Elephas maximus indicus: one gene and its partner. Each later gene encodes a partner of the first gene's protein in a complex. Links are inferred from orthologs where the notes say so. Each region holds a gene or a part of one and is shown on either strand. Other genes may lie near its edges.

What was found.
Region 2: the proteins of PPP2CA (region 1) and PPP2R5D are in contact, whole or in part, in a cryo-EM structure (PDB 8U1X), measured with the Homo sapiens proteins. The link is inferred for Elephas maximus indicus from reciprocal best matches to the Homo sapiens genes PPP2CA and PPP2R5D. Residues at the interface, in NP_002706.1 of Homo sapiens: Arg89, Tyr91, Arg121, Gln122, Ile123, Gln125, Val126, Tyr127, Gly128, Tyr130, Asp131, Leu134, Arg135, Ala140, Trp143, His191, Trp200, Arg214, Ala216, Leu243, Met245, Tyr265, Tyr267, Arg268, Cys269, Arg302, Arg303, Asp306, Tyr307, Leu309; in NP_006236.1 of Homo sapiens: Ile80, Lys82, Asn188, Pro189, Ala192, Glu193, Phe194, Asp195, Glu198, Asp199, Glu200, Ile288, Tyr289, Glu290, Glu292, Lys332, Val333, Lys334, Lys367, Phe368, Trp369, Pro370, Lys371, Thr372, His373, Ser374, Pro375, Lys376, Ser413, Pro414.

The regions. Positions count from the first base shown.
Region 1 is NC_064820.1:146,616,307-146,623,869, forward strand, and holds the start of PPP2CA (serine/threonine-protein phosphatase 2A catalytic subunit alpha isoform), read right to left. Parts: upstream 3,068-7,563; 5' UTR 2,719-3,067; coding exon 2,617-2,718; intron 1-2,616. UniProt on the Homo sapiens protein: Catalytic subunit of protein phosphatase 2A (PP2A), a serine/threonine phosphatase involved in the regulation of a wide variety of enzymes, signal transduction pathways, and cellular events.
Region 2 is NC_064819.1:107,397,248-107,405,215, forward strand, and holds the start of PPP2R5D (serine/threonine-protein phosphatase 2A 56 kDa regulatory subunit delta isoform), read left to right. Parts: upstream 1-4,965; 5' UTR 4,966-5,081; coding exon 5,082-5,108; intron 5,109-7,968. UniProt on the Homo sapiens protein: The B regulatory subunit might modulate substrate selectivity and catalytic activity, and might also direct the localization of the catalytic enzyme to a particular subcellular compartment.

The DNA of each region.
Region 1 (7,563 bases):
GGGTTTTATTGGTTTATCTCTAACAAGTATCTTAAAAAAACTATTACTATAATGGAAAAAAATTAAACTCTCAAAAATTTGTACAATTTCTACTCAGAAGCCACCACATCGAAGAGTATCATATAGTTTTCACTCAGTGGTGCTACTGGACATACAAATACTAACAGTGAAAAGAGAACTTTTGTTTCACTAGATTACAGAGAAGACCATTTCAAGTCATGCATCCTAACACATCCCACATATCTAAAAAGCTGTCTTCAAATAATTTACTTTGGAAGGTTAATATAGTTCCAAAAAATTTGGTGTATTTACAAGCTAACATCAGAATGACAACTATGTTATGATACTCCCCCACAAAAAGGATCCATTCCATTGGAACCTTTATGTAATACCTAACTTCAAATACTACGTTCATCTTTTTGGCTGTCAGAACTCAAACCTAAACATGCTGACTGAGCAATGCAGATCTGAGAATAAGTGATTAGCCTCACTATACCTTAGTTTTACAAAGATGTGGAAAACAACATTTACCACCCCACTTTAGTCTCCAACACAAACTCTCTACTTCCACAGTCCACCTCCTTACTGACTACCATGCCATGCTTGTCTCTCCAACTGAATTCAAAGCTCCTTGAAAACAGGCTTTGTTATTCTTTGTTGCTTTTCACTCCCCGCATAAGAGTAAGCAATCCTGGATAGTCAACAGATCTCCAATACTTAAACACAAAGTACTAATTTATGATGAAATTGTATAATCTTGCAAGATTAGAAGTGACCTTAGAACATTTGTTTTAACTCCTTATACAAAGGAAAATGAGGACCAAGTGATGTAATTGCTCCAAGTTCAGTCACAACTACTAATTCTGTGGCAGAAACAGGACTAGTATCCAGGTCTAACTCGCAGCTCAGTGGCCTTTCAATTACATCATTACCTCTCTCCAATGTTTTCTACACAAATGACTAGTCGTCTAGCAAAGTCTTTATACAGAGCAAGTACTGAACCCTAAAACTCCATAAAATGATTATTTATAGTACCTAGAAATTAAGCCCTTGGCAATATATTCTAAGTTTTTAACAGCCTAATCTTTAAACCTTTGAAATACATACCAACCTTATCTAATTGAAGAACTTTAAAATTAAGGGTCAAGAAAGAAAAGATTCAGTACACTGCTATCCATTAAAATTCAGCTCCAATAGATGATGTGCCACCTCATCAACTGGTAGTGGAGTTTTGCCCAGACTTGGGATAAATAAATCTGAATTTGACTCACTTAAATTCCTATTATTCACAGCAGCTTCTTAAAAAGTCCGTCTCGGGAGCATATGCATCAAATTCATAATCCTGATTTTCACATTAAACCACAAACGAGTCAGCGTAACAGCTCTCCTGTAACTCTTTTCACTAACACAACATACTAACATGATATCGCACTATTTTATATTAAAATGAAATGCTGCAAAGGTAATTTTGAAAAGGGAAGTTAAAATGTTCATAGAGATCAGCATTTTCTATACATTAGAAAACGGGGTTCTAAGAAATACAACACAGCTGAACAAGTAATAGATAATCTATTAAGCTACCTGTTTCACCAACACCCAAGGAAAAACTAGAATTAGTACAAAATTAAAGTTTAGCGTTATTAAGTGGGCTATGACATTTCACTTTCAACATCTGTGAAATTATTTATTTACACACTAAGCAGTGTCTGCAATACACTGTCTGGAATGAACTCTATCAACAGCTATCATTACTACTACTACTACTTGCAGCCACAGAAATACAATTAAGTAACTTTTTCAAAAAAGACCCAGGATATAAAACTTGCCGTCCTTCCAGTTCATCATTTTAAAAAACAAATGGCAAAACAGCAAGTATGTTCAGCTTAGGAAAGGGTTCACACTACCCAATTTGAATCAGCGTATAAATCATAAATTAAGCCGACACTTGATTTCCAATTCAATAGCTCCTTATGCAGTGTGACTCACCAAATTCTCCATTTTTTCCAACTATGAAGAATTAGTTACTCCTCCTCATAACTACCGTGACCTTCGCAGAAACTGGGTTAGAGACTTATGTATAAGATGTTTAATACAAACCACCCAGGATAGTGCTAAAGCTCTATGACCTTTAGACAGGTTCTGGGATCTGGCCTACTTGCTTGCCTTTGGGGACTCTCTGCACAACGCTGAATCTAAAAATTATGCCTGAACACAAGTAAAAAGCAGCTTACCCACCTCACAGTGGAGGCCTAGGCCCCATTCCCGGGCTGCAGAACCCAAGTCCCTTTACCTGAATCTCAACACCGTCCCTGACCCTGATATACAGGGTCTCCGCTCCCCCTGCCACCCCGCCCGGCGCCGAGGGCCGGAGCCTCAGAACCCCCTGAGTCGGGGGAACGGCGCCATTTTAGGCGGCGGCGGCGACAACCAATCCTTCAGCGAGAGACAGGGGGCGCCGGGTCGCTCGGGAGCCGCCGCCGGGCCGCGCCGGGCGCCGGACTGGGAGGCTCGGGGGGCTCTGGCCGGCGGCCTCCGCCATGTTGCACCCTCCCCACAGGCACCCCTTCTTGGCAAGATCGGCCCCGCGGCAGCACCCGCAGCTGGAGTGCAGCTCACCTTCTCGCAGAGGCTCTTGACCTGGGACTCGGACAGCTGCTTGCACTCGTTCAGCTGCTCGATCCACTGGTCTAGCTCCTTGGTGAACACCTTCTCGTCCATGATGCCACCCGCCCGAACCGGCTGCCTCTCCGCCCTACTCCCGCGCCGCCGCCCGCACACGGGCCACACGCACACGCCGCCGCCGGTTGCCGGAGTACTACTGTGGCTACTGGCGGTTGCTCGGCGCTAGCGCTGGCCCACTGGGTGGCCCCGCAATGCTCGGCCACCGGCCGCTGCTCCTCCTCCGCTGGCTCTAGCTCCGGAGCTCGGCTCTCTGTAATGGCGGCCGCCCGGCGTGGTGACGTCACGCCCGGCGTCAGAAGGCGGCGGGTGCGGAAGAAAAAAAGCGCCGGGACACGAGCGGCGCAACTGCAGATCAGATCCTGGTCTACCGCAAGAACCGAGTCAGAGGGGACGGAAACTAGGAGCCAACGCGCAGGCGCATTCTAGCCGGCTAGTAACTGACGCACCTTCTCTTTTAGGGCGTGGTCTCCCAGAAGGGAAGGCTCGCGGGGTGGTGGGATAAAAAAAAACCGAATCCGCGCAAGCGCTGTGCCTGCAGCTGTGAATCGGGATTATCTCCGAACGCTACGCCCTACGAGACGCCCGCGCGAGCTTCGCGCAGGCGCAGTCCTCGTAGAAGGGGGCTTCCTAGCTGAGACTTTTCACTTGGGGAGGCCTGGTAAAACGTGTTAGTTCTTCACCTGGGGATTGGGATCCAGATCATGGAAACGAGAAGGCGACCCCATGGCTCCTCCATGGTTCAACAGCACTGGAATTGCGTGGGATTCACACATCTCTGGGGGCAGGGACAGGGCACCCACTCACTGGCACCCTGGTTGGAGTGACCACCCCGCCCCTGGGCGCGGCTCACCCCTTGTAATTAGGTCACACGTGGGCGGAGGAGAGTGTACCTGCGGAAAGCACCTGACTTCCGCCACACACCTGTCCCTGGGCCCGGGCACTCGTTGGGCGCAGTGATGGAGGCTAAGGCTTGGGGCTTCTCTCGCTCTCGCACGGCCTTTCCTGTTGTCGCCTGCTCCAGGTGTGCCTCCTCCTCCGACTCCAGTTTCCCCGGTAATGAGAGACCCCAGCCGCTGCCTGCCTGGCCTCCTTTCTAGAGGGACACACCGGTCCTGACCGTGTCCCAGTGGTGGTAGAAGCAGCTGTGATTCGCATTTTAAAGCAAACTCCAATACCATAGAATCGGACCTCTGTCTAGTTTATGAATCTCTGGTGTTTGCGAAAACGTTTTCATATTCCACAGAGCACTAACTCTACGTAGAGTGCCAGATACCATGCCTGGAAATAGAGGGGTCATTCAAACAGAAGGTACCCTTTGTTAGAGAAGGTCACATTCTTCCAATAGTATTAGCTTAAATTGGTTTGGGGATAAGCAGAAGAGCGTTTATGATGCTTCCAGGATCTGAGAGGTAGAAGCTTTTCGAAGGGCATTCAACCATAAAGGACAAGGCAAGGGCTGAGCCTGGTCTCGTGTCTTCTAGACCCCTAGCCCCAATTGCAGTGGACCTGGCTAAACGATGTAGTTGGGCAGAACGCTAGCTCTGTGTCTCAGAGGGCCTCATCTTGACCAATAGGCTGAAGAAGGCCCTGGAGGCCTTATCAGCTAATAAACCAAAAAAAACCCATTGCCATCGAGTCGATTCCGACTCATAGCTACCTTATAGGACAGAGTAGAACTGCCGCATAGAGTTTCCAAGGAGCGCCTGGCGGATTTGAACTGCCAGCCTCTCAGCAGCCGTAGCACTTAATCACTATGCCAGCAGGGTTTCCATTAATGGCAGGACTGAAAATCCGCCGTCGTCCAAGACAACCTGCTTGACGAGGCCCGCTGGCTTGGCCTCCCCCAACTGGAGATAGCAATTCTGCTCTCCCTTCCTACCTCCCTATCCCCCGCCAGCGCGCCCGAAAGAAAGTCCCTCAGATCTATTCCCCAGAAGGCTTATCACATACTTAATTTACCAGGCTGGAAAAAAAGCTCTTTTAGTTCAAATTCTGACCCTGTTTTGCAGTTAACATCCCAAAATAATAGAGGAACAAATTAAGGCCATGTGGAATGATTATAAAGCCATACCCAGTGTGCCGTCTCATCTTATTATTTACCCCTGCCCCGTACTTGTGGGAGAACTAGTCCTGTATAATAGGTCAAGAAGCAGTTGGGCACTCAGAAAAGAGAAGGGATTTGCCCAAGGTAGTGGCCAGGATTTAAAACTTGATTCTACCAAGTGCAAGGTCTTGGTCACAGTTATACAACTGACCTTCCAAGGACTGAAATATGGAATGGGATCAATCTAATTTTCCTTTGCTTGGGTTTTCTACCTAGAAAGGTGGTGGTGATATTAGTTTGATAGATTAATAAGTATTGAGCACTCACTATGTACTAAGGTCATGATGAGTTTTTCCAAAGCACTTTGAGCTCCTTAGTGGAAGTATTAATGGAAGTGTTATTTTCTCTTGATGCAGATGACTTGGCTCACCACCACCACGAAATGGAGAGAAGATATAATTATATGTACTTAAAACATCCTGCCAAATAATTAGATGCCATGACTTAACTTCTTAAGGAATGAATTCTAGGAAGCTCTCATTAGCATTCAGGCAGTGAAGTAAAGCATACATGATTATAAACAATACAGAACTAAAGTAAACCAAATATCTTTTCCTTTAAAAGAAAGGAACATTTTTTCCTTTAGAAGAAATCTGGAATGTTTTCTTACTCTGTAGCACTCAAAATAACCAATGGATTTGACAATTCAGCTTAAATAATCTGGTCTTAACTAATGTGAATTTACTGACTGAATTCTAGAGCTGAGGAATACTTGAAACAAAAATTTAAAGAAAACCAAAAAAGAATTGTTCTTTTACTTACTTGGCAAAAACCAGAAAGGGAATAAAGCAAATATGCTTGGAGAAAGAATCTCTGCTCAGATGGCAAATTCAGTATACATCGAGTCTGAGTGTTGCCTATGATGTTTTAAACATAGCTATAAATAAAAATCATCTGATGATGGGGCTGGGTAGGGGGAGGATAACCTTGAGCAACTAGTTTTATAATAGGTACTCTCAGCCAAGATATAAAAATTTATATTAAACATGGAGAAGGAACAAGATGTATCTTATTTCTAAGCAATTCTCTTGGCCTTTCGTTAGCTTTATTTTGTTGTTCTTTCCAGCTCCCTGATTTCTAAACTTACCGAGACAGAAAGTAGATCAGTGTAGGTAAGAAAAGGCACTGGGGTCGGATGGACGTAGGTTTGAATTCTGGTTCCCACCTTCCCAGCTGTGTGACCTTTGCAAGTCACCTAACTTTTTCTGAATTTCAGTTTCTCTCATCTACAAAGTGGGGATAACTGTAGTAGCCAAATAATAGGATTCTGCTGAGAATTAAATGAAATTGTGCCTGTAAAACACCAACACAGTATATAATAAATGTCCAAATAAGTATTAGATATTATTATCTCCAAGTCGTCTCTGATTGGAGCCCCTCAGTGTCTGTTTTTTACACAGTGAACAGAACATGTTTTTGTTAGCTGCCGCTGAGTTGGCCCCAACTCATGGCAACCCCATGTGTTACAGAGTAGAACTGTCCCATAAGGTTTTCTTGGCTGTAATCTTTATGAACTCATAGTGAGTCAGAATCGACTCACTGGCAGTGGGTTTGGTTTTTGTTTGTTTGGTTTAATTTTTATGGAAGCAGTTTGCCAGGCCTTTCTTCTCCAGAGCTGCTGGGTGAGTTTGAACAACCAACTCTTAGGTTAGCAACCGATTATAAACTGCTTGCGCCACACACTCCTTGCATAGAAGATAAGGATATCAAAAACATCATATAGAGACAAGGCTATAGGCTGAAGTGGGGATGGCGGAGGAGCTTAAAGGGAAAAGAGTTGGAGATGGAGCAAAAAGCACACCCCTACTCTCCCTTTACCATCAAGCAGACATTCAAAAAGCTTGTATAGAGAGAAAGTCACTTAGGAATAAATCCAAGATCTAATACAGCTGGTGAATGTCATGCTCCTGTCAGCTCAGAATCTTATATCTGAGAAAGGTGCCATATTTGAAAAGGATAACATGCCCTCTGCACTGAGGCCTTCTATTCTTCCAGAAGCCCCCAGAATAAAGGCCTGAGCAGTCAGCACCTTAGTGGCTCTGCCCAGGAAAAGCCAGCCGTGTTTTGGCCATCTGGACCTGCCAACTACCAGAACATTTCTGCATTCATCATACGCAACGATGCCTGCAATTTTTTGGTATCTATCATTATTCCTTTCCTTTGTGGTTTTCAGAAAAATTAAGGTTATATCTCCCTTTCACCCGGAATTAGAATTTTACAAATGTGGCTAAAATTCTGTGGCTAGGAACTTTGCCACTGGTATTATGCAGCCCTTCCCCCTAGCTATTGCAGTTTGGCTACAGAAGAAAGAGAGAGAAATGATCTTGTACCCTGATGATGCCCAGTTCGCCCAGATGCCATCTTCAGAGGGAAATTTTTTTTTTCTCTGTTGCAGAAAAATAAACTCTGAAGTGGAAGGCAAAGTTCATCACTTCAGAAGGCTGGTAAACTTAAGAATACTGTCACCAACTCTGCAGCTATTAAAAATTCTATCATAGAAGAGTGATTATTGACATAGGACATTATTCACAATATGTTGTTAAGCAAAAAAGTACCTTTAAAACATTATGTATGCTATAACCCCAATTTTATTAAGAATCTATTATAAATATATGGTTATAGATTATGGAAAAATGCACAGCAAAGTATTAATAGTGACTGTTTCTGGTGTGTTGGATTGTATTTTATTTTCTTTTTGTTTATTGATACTTCTGTAATGAATACATATTACTTTTATATTTGTGGAAAAAATCTTTCAAATATTGGAGTAAGCATGA
Region 2 (7,968 bases), on another chromosome or scaffold:
AGCGAGCTGGCTTGCTAACGGTGCGAGCGTCGTTTCCGCTTCCGCCAGGGGAGGCGTGAGGAAAGTGGGAGGGGAGTCGGGAGCAGCGAGCATGCTCTGATAGGAAGCAACTGCGCCTCGGAGAGGTCAGGAGGTGCTCCAATGGCAGGCATCTCTGCGGTTACGTAACATTTACGCCTGCGCTCTTTGAGCCTGTGCTTGCAGGCGTCTTGTAGGCAAGAAAGGTTCTCTCTGTTAACTGGCATGCATTTGACAGTTTATTGACTGACCACTGAACAGTCAGCGTGCCCTGGAGCGACTGGGCCCAGTGCTGGGGGCTGTGTTTAGGAAAGAATCGACTCCTCCCTCTGTGGAGCTGTAGGAACTGAGGTTTCGGGTTGTGGGGAGGGTAGCAGGAGAGTGGTAGGATTATAAAACCCTGTGTTAGACGTGCTTGTGGATATGTAGTGGCTGCTGACTGAATTACTACATGTGATTCATGTAGCCCTGGAGTGCTTGGTGCGGCCACACCTGTTCCAACACATCCTACACAAAACCCATGTTCCAACACGTCTTGTCCTGTTCGTTCTACACCCACCAAACTGGGAGCGAAGACAAAGCAGCTTCGGTCTTACATCTTTCCAAATCCGGTTACTCTCCCCTTACCAATACTTACAAACCGGAGACCCATTCCCTAACCTCTAGGAGACCCTAGAGGAGGGCGTCGTTGCTTCCATAATCAGCACCAATACAACAGCCTGCTTCCCACCTGTGGTGTTACCGAGATTGCACCCTTGTCTCCACCCGCACTGATTTGTAGGCCACACATTTCCAATTATTAACAATACGTTTGCACCCAGAGTCAGTGGATTGGAATGGTGGTAATCTACTCTTTGGACCTTGCCTCTCTTCTAGCTCTGCCCAACTTTCTGCTTTCCTTCACAATTGAACATCTTCTACTTCGTAGTTATGCGTTCCTGAAAATATTTTTGAAACTCAAGTATTTGAAAATTGAATATTAGATTTGCATGTTATGAGAGATTTCTATCCACAGATTGACAGGAAATCATCAATTGTCTGATTATATTTCCTGGAAGTACCTCCAGTCCTAAACCTGAAAGAGCCCAGACACACTTCTTCGAAACAGCATGCAAGAACGTGTTAGATACCTGGATTCACATGGATGAAAGTTCTCATTTGGTGGTACTGAACGGTATGTCTGAAGAAGACTGAAGAAGATTTGATGCCTTTGAATTATGGTGTTGACAAAGAATATTGAATATATGGTGGACTGCCAGAAGAACAAATAAATCTGTCTTGGGAGAAGTACAGCTAGAATGCTCCTTAAGAAGCGAGGGTGGCAAGGCTTCGTCTCACGTACTTTGGACATGTTATCAAGAGGGACCAGTCCCTGGAGAAGAACATCATGCTTGGTAAAGTACAGATGAATTGACATAGTGGCTGCAACAATGGGCTCAAATGTAGCAACGATTGTGAGGATGGTGCAGGACTGGTCAGTGTTTCATTCTGTTGTACATAGGATCACTATGAGTCAGAAGTGACTTGACAACACCTAACAACAAACTATATGTGGCTCTGTCCCCTGCCTCCCAGAGGGACCAAGGACTGGGAGGGCAGTGGATAGGCCCAAAAGAATATATCTGCTTTATACAGTAGCAGGCAAGCTCTAGGCCTTAGGACTGTAGTGTTCCTTGGGACCTTAAAAAAAAGGGAAGGATAAATACATCTGGTATCCTGCCTGGAAGGTCCCCGGGTGGCGTAACCAGTTCACACTGGTCTACTAATCTAAAGGTTGGTGGTTTGAACCCACCCATCAAGATCACAGAAGAAAGGCTTGGCAATCTGCTTTTGTAAAGATTTTTTGTTGTTGTTAGGTGTCCTCAAGTCGGTTCTTTCTCATAGTGACCCTATGTATAACAGAATGAAACACTGCCTGGTCCTGCACCATCCTCACAATTGTTGTTACGTTTGAGCCCACTGTTGCACCCACTGTGTCAATCCATCTCATTGAAGGTCTTCCTCTTTTTCGCTGACCAAGCATGATGTTCTTCTCCAGGAACTGGTCCCTCCTGATAACAAGTCTTGTCACCCTCACTTCTAAGGTACATTCTGGCTGTACTTCGTCCAAGACAGATTTGTTCGTGCTGGCAGTCCATGGTATATCCAATATTCTTTGCCAATACCATATTTCAAAGGCATCAGTTCTTCTTTGGTCTTCCTTATTTATTCTCCAGCTTCTGCATACATATGAGACGATTAAAAATATCATTGCTTGGGTCAGGCGCACCTTAGTCCTCAATGTGACATCTTTGTTTCTCAACACTTTAAAGAGGTCTTTTGCAGCAGATTTTCCCAATGCAACATGTCTTCTGATTTCTTGACCGCTGTTTCCATGGGTGTTGATTGTGGATCCAAGTAAAATGAAATCCTTGACAACTTCAATATTTTCTCCATTTATCATGATGTTGTTTATTGGTCCAGTTGTGAAGATTTTTGTTTTCTCTATGTTGAGGCATAATCCATACTGAAGGGTGTAGTCTTTGATTTTCATCAGTAAGTGCTTCAAGTAAAGATTACAGTCAAGAAAACCCTATGGAACAGTTCTACTCTGCAACATATGGGGTTGTCACGAGTTGGAATCGACTTGATGACAATGGGTTTTACCCTGCCTGGGGTTGGAACCCATATGGACACAAATGACCAGTTGCTGTCTAGTGGACTCTGATTCATGGCAACCCCACGTGTGAGAATAGAACTGTGCTCCATAGGGTTTTCCATGCCTGATTTTTCAGAAGTAGATCACCAGGCCTTCCAAGGTGCCTTTGAGTGGACTCAAAACTTCCAACCTTTTGAGAGTGGGTGTTAATTGTTTGCACCACCCGGGACTCCACAGACACAAATACCCAGGAAATAAATGTCATTTCCTTTCAGGATTTTCTCCTTGTAAATAATGACTGGCATCCAGTTCACTTTGTGTTACCTGGAAATTATCATTAGTCACTGAAAGCCCAATACAATTTCTATAAGATAGCCAGTAGCCTAAATTTGCTATGATCACATCCTTACCTCTTGCTCACCCCTCAACCTACTACAACTTCCTTGCCACTCCTGAGACTTCCTTGGCAGAGATCACCAGTAACTTCCTAACTACAGAATCCGGGGATGCTGTTTGATCTTTATCTTACTTGACCTTTCTCTGGAATCTGACGCTATTGAACAATTCTCCTTTCCAGAAACACTTTACTTCCCTTGCCTTGTGACAGTTTTCTTCCTAACATCTCTGACCACTTCCCAGTTATCCTCAACTCCTCCCTTTCCCTTCCCATCTCCCCAGAATCCAATGAGTCACTAAATCCCATTGATTACACACATTTCCCAATTCCATCCTCCCTTCTTCATCCTCATGGCCACCGTTTTATAACATTTTTCTCCTGGGCAAGGTCCACGGGCTTACTTTTGGGGAGCCTTCTCCAGTTCCTTCATGTAGCCAATCTGCTTCTGGAGTAGCCTTTCTGAAACATACCCTTCTGTGTAGTCTCTCCATTTCTGTTGCCTTGGAGTCGATTCTGACTATGGGACAGAGTAGAACTGCCCCATAGGGTTTCCAAGGCTGTAATGTTTACAGAAGCAGACTGCCACATTTTTCTACCATGGAGTGGCTGTTGAGTTCATACGGCCAAAATTTTGGTTTGCAGCTGAACACTTAACCACTGTGCCACCAAGGCTCCTTATGTAGTCTTTAGGTTTGTGTAATTTATCACATTGTATCTTAATCATCACAGGTCCCTGGGTGGTGCAAGCAGTTTTGCTATCTGCTGCTAACTGATGGTTCAAACACACCCAGAAGAAAGGCCTGGTGATGAGATTCTGGAAAGATTGTTGTTGTTAGGTGCTGTTTAGTCAATTTTCGACTTACAATGACCCCATGTGACCGAGTAGAATTGCCCCATATGTTTTTTAGGCTATAATCTTTACAGAAGCAGATTGTCAGTTCTTTCTCCAGCAGTGTGGCTGGGTAGGTTCGAACCCCCAACCTTTTGGTTAACAGCCAAGCGCTTAACCTGTTGTGCTACCAGGGCTCCTTTACAGTCAAGAAAACCCTAGGGAGCATGGTTCTACTCTGACACCCATGGGGTTGCCATGAGTCAGAACCTACTAGATGGCAACTGATTTGGTTTTGGATCTTAATCATTTGTTTATACAAATCTATGCATTTAACCAGTCTCTGAACCATTTGAGGGCAAGAATTGAGCCTTATCCATTAGGACGTTGGCTTGGGTGGGGTGGGGAGAAGGGATGGATTTTCTGGAGGCACGCAACAATGACGTTACTTTTTCACTGTCTTCCCGACTGCTCAAGTCTAGCCGGTTCCTCAATCCCAGGGCAATGCCAGTAGGAACGGGAACCCTTTTCCCAAAGCTGCAACAAAGCCGGGAGCCTCAGACTTCAGAACCTGAGAAACCCAGGCCCAGGATCTGCCAGGTTTCCCTTTTGCTCCTCTGCAAGTCCAGTCTAGGGAGGTAAATGCCCTCGAGGGCCCTTGGGAGTTCTCTCTAGTGCTACGTTACCCTGATAGAGAAAGGTGCCCTTCATTTTAGGGCTTCTTTCCTTCAATTCGGACTGGGCAGGGTAGCACAGTGAGGAAAAAGAGCCACTTTAGAAGAGAATGAACAGAGAACTCCAAAGACTACAAAGAAAGACCAAGGCCGCTGCAGGAGAGCAGCGCTCCAAGTCAAGCTTGGGTTTCCCTTTACCCCCGCCTCCTTCTCTAAGCTCGACCCACTTAGGGCGGGACCTCTCACTTCAGCCTATTCCGGGAGCTGAACCCTGGCGGTTTGTACTCTTTCTTTCCAATGAGAAAAAAAGGAAGCAGCTTGGCTCCAATGACCAATCCGAGGAGGCGGCGCCGGGTTGTCAGGCAGGTTATAAGGGTTCGGGCCAATTGGAGGCTCAGACAAGGCTCGACCGGGGCGCAGCGCGCAGGCGGAGGCGAAAAGACGCCGGAGCGGGCCGAGTGCGGCCGAGCAAAGCCGGAGCCGGAGCGGGACCGCAGGAGCCGGGCCGGGTCCGGACCGCCCGAGATGCCCTACAAACTGAAGAAGGAGAAGGTGAGCCTGGCCCCTTCCCCCGCACCTCCGCCCCGGGGCCTGCGCGGAGCTCTGGGAGGGGCCCGAGCCAGGCCCGGGACAGCCCCAGACTGACCCTCCCGTCCGGCCCTCGCAGGACTCTAGGGCCAGCTCTCCGCCCCCGCGGCGGGTAGCACCCCGAGCCTGTGCCGCAGCTGGGATAACTCCCCCACCTTGCCCGGGACAGATTGCACCCCACATACACCCCTCTCTCTCCCCCTCACTCTCCTGCCCCCGGCCTAGAGTAACCTCCTCCCTCCAGATCTGTCCCATTCCCAGGTCACTCCCCTACTTCCCTCCGTCCTCCTGCTCCCGCATCGCCCCTTCCTCCCAGCCCCTCAGCCCGTTTGGGACAGCCTTCCTCATCTGAGACAGCGCCTCCCTCTAGAACTGCCCCTCTCCCCCCTGCGCAGCCCCTTCCCTCCTCTTCCCACCAGCCAGGGACCGCCTTCTCTCCCATCCCCTACAGCCTTTTCTCTGTCGTTGCGCCCAGCCCCCTGACCTAGGACTGTGCTGCTTTCTCTCTCCTCCACCCAAATCTGGGCTAGGCCCCTCCCTCCAGTTCTTCCTTCACACACAAACTTGTACGCCAGGACGGAGCCCTGCCTTCTGTTGATGGAACCTCAGAACGTCAGGGCAGGAAGGGACCTTTGAACGCATGCAGTCCAACCTCTGGTGGTACATATGAGGAGACTGAGGCCCAGACAGGGCAAGAGACTTGTCCAAGGTCACATAACCTGCTGGAGGCAGAGCTGCAATATCGGGTCTCCTGACTTCAAGGCCTCTTCTGTACCAAAGCTAAGAGGGCTGACAGGCATCATCACCTTCCTCCCAGGTTCATCCTAGATCAGTCACTATCCTTAACCTGAGCAGGCTCCTCCCCTTATTCCTAATCCTAGAATAACCTTTGCATTTTTTTCCTTTTTGCACCAGTGCTTGCTTTTTGTCTTTCTGGGCTGCACGATCTGATCCTCAAATGGGGAATCTGCCCTCTCTGTCAGATTAGTTTTCCTTCTCACCCCACAAGCCAGCCAACCCTGGGCACCCATACCTTTCTCATGGTGTCCTGACACAAGCCCATTCTTGATGTGCCTTCTTTCACCTTCCCAGTCTATCTCCATACTGCCTTCCCCTGTTCCTTATCCCTGCCTTTTTCTACTCTCTCTTTCCTGCTGTTGCTGAGGTCTGACTCAGAGGTGTGGTTCCTTTGAGGTACAGACTCACACAGAGGATGCTAGGATACCAGTTTCAGCCTCCTCCAGCTTCTTTCCTGGGGCTGGCCCCCTCAGGGTGTGGGCTGGCGCTGACCTGGTGTTGTGCCCACCAGTGTTGTGACCCTAGAGGTGTATTGCTTTCATTTGCCCTTTGATTGGCTGGGTTGCTGGGCCGCCATCTCTGACCTTATCCATCAAACCCTTTATCCTGGGGCTGTTGGAGATTTGCTGGGCAGCTCTGTTTCTGGGTTGTCCCCATAACCCCTCAGGGCCTAAGGCTCTGAGTGTAGGGTTGTATACTCAGTGGTGATGGTATACTGGGTACTGAACCTCCTGGGGTGCTAGGCAGGCAGGGTGGTGTACCCCACCCAGGCACTGCCCGTGGGGGGTGGGCATGCCAAGATGGCAGCTTAGCTGTAGTCGATGCACACCCACGTCAGCCACACCGGGTTCTAAGGGGGTCCTTTAAGGAGTGGGGCGAGGGGCGGAATTCAGGGGCAGTAGGCGAGGTCTCCACCCATCTGTAGCTTTTAGTCTGATGGAATAGATACTGTCCCATCCACAGTAAGCCTTTGCCTACTAGATGATTGAGAAGAACAAAAATACGTAATTAGTCTTGTGAGGACCTTAGGTGTAAAGTATTTGGTTGGGAAGGGTTGTTGGGACTGGGGTGCATAGAGCCAGGCATAACTGTGACCCCCTTTCAGGTTTTAATTTTCTGTTTTTGATTTTTGGTTGCATTTGGTATTCAGGGGTTGGCAAGTCCGGCGGGGGCGGGCGGGGGGAGGAGTTGATAGTGTGACTGAGATTTGCCTAGATGGAATGAGGGTAGAGGGTGTGGGTGGGTAAGTGGAGAATCTTCATTGCTCATCCCACCTCTCCCCTTTCTCCTTCATCTCTGCTGGTCCCAGGCCTGGCCATTCTTCACGGCCTTCTCCCTGAAGCCTTGCTTGAGCCCTTAGTTGAGAGTGAGGTCTCCCACCTCCCCTGGATTTGTAGAACACTTGGTAGGCCATTTATGGCCCTTTTAGGTTCAGCTTTGAATCCGAATTAATTGTGGATGAGTCATTTCTTCCCCCTTGAGATGATAACTAAGCTCCACCTCGTACACAGTAGGTCCTTCCCTTCCCATGTGTACTGACCTGGGACTGGACTTAGGTCTTTTAGGTTCCTGGGTCAGGTGCTTCCTCTCCCTTTCACTTTCTTCTTGTTCATAATAATAGTAATAATAGTTCATAATAATAGTGACCAGTGTTTAGGATTTTCATTTGCTAGACACTGTGCCAAGGGAAGCGGGTACTAAGACTGTCGTTGTTTAATAAATGAGGAAACTGAGGCTCCGAGAGGTTAGATAACTTGCCTATAATTATATAGCTAGTAAGAGTTGGGCCTGGAACACAAAGTCATTCTTTTCACCATGTGCTGTGAGCACCTGACTGCTGGCTGGGCAGAAGTGTGTGCACACCTGTTCTGCAGGAGCCAGGGAACAAGGGTGATGGGCCCAGTTCCCCCCAAGAGCACACACCCACACATACCCCGCAACACACACACAAAGGCAGCTGGGATCTCTCTTAGGTGCATTCCCTGAGGGGTATGTCTGAGGTGTTGTGCTAAGGGCTATGGGATTG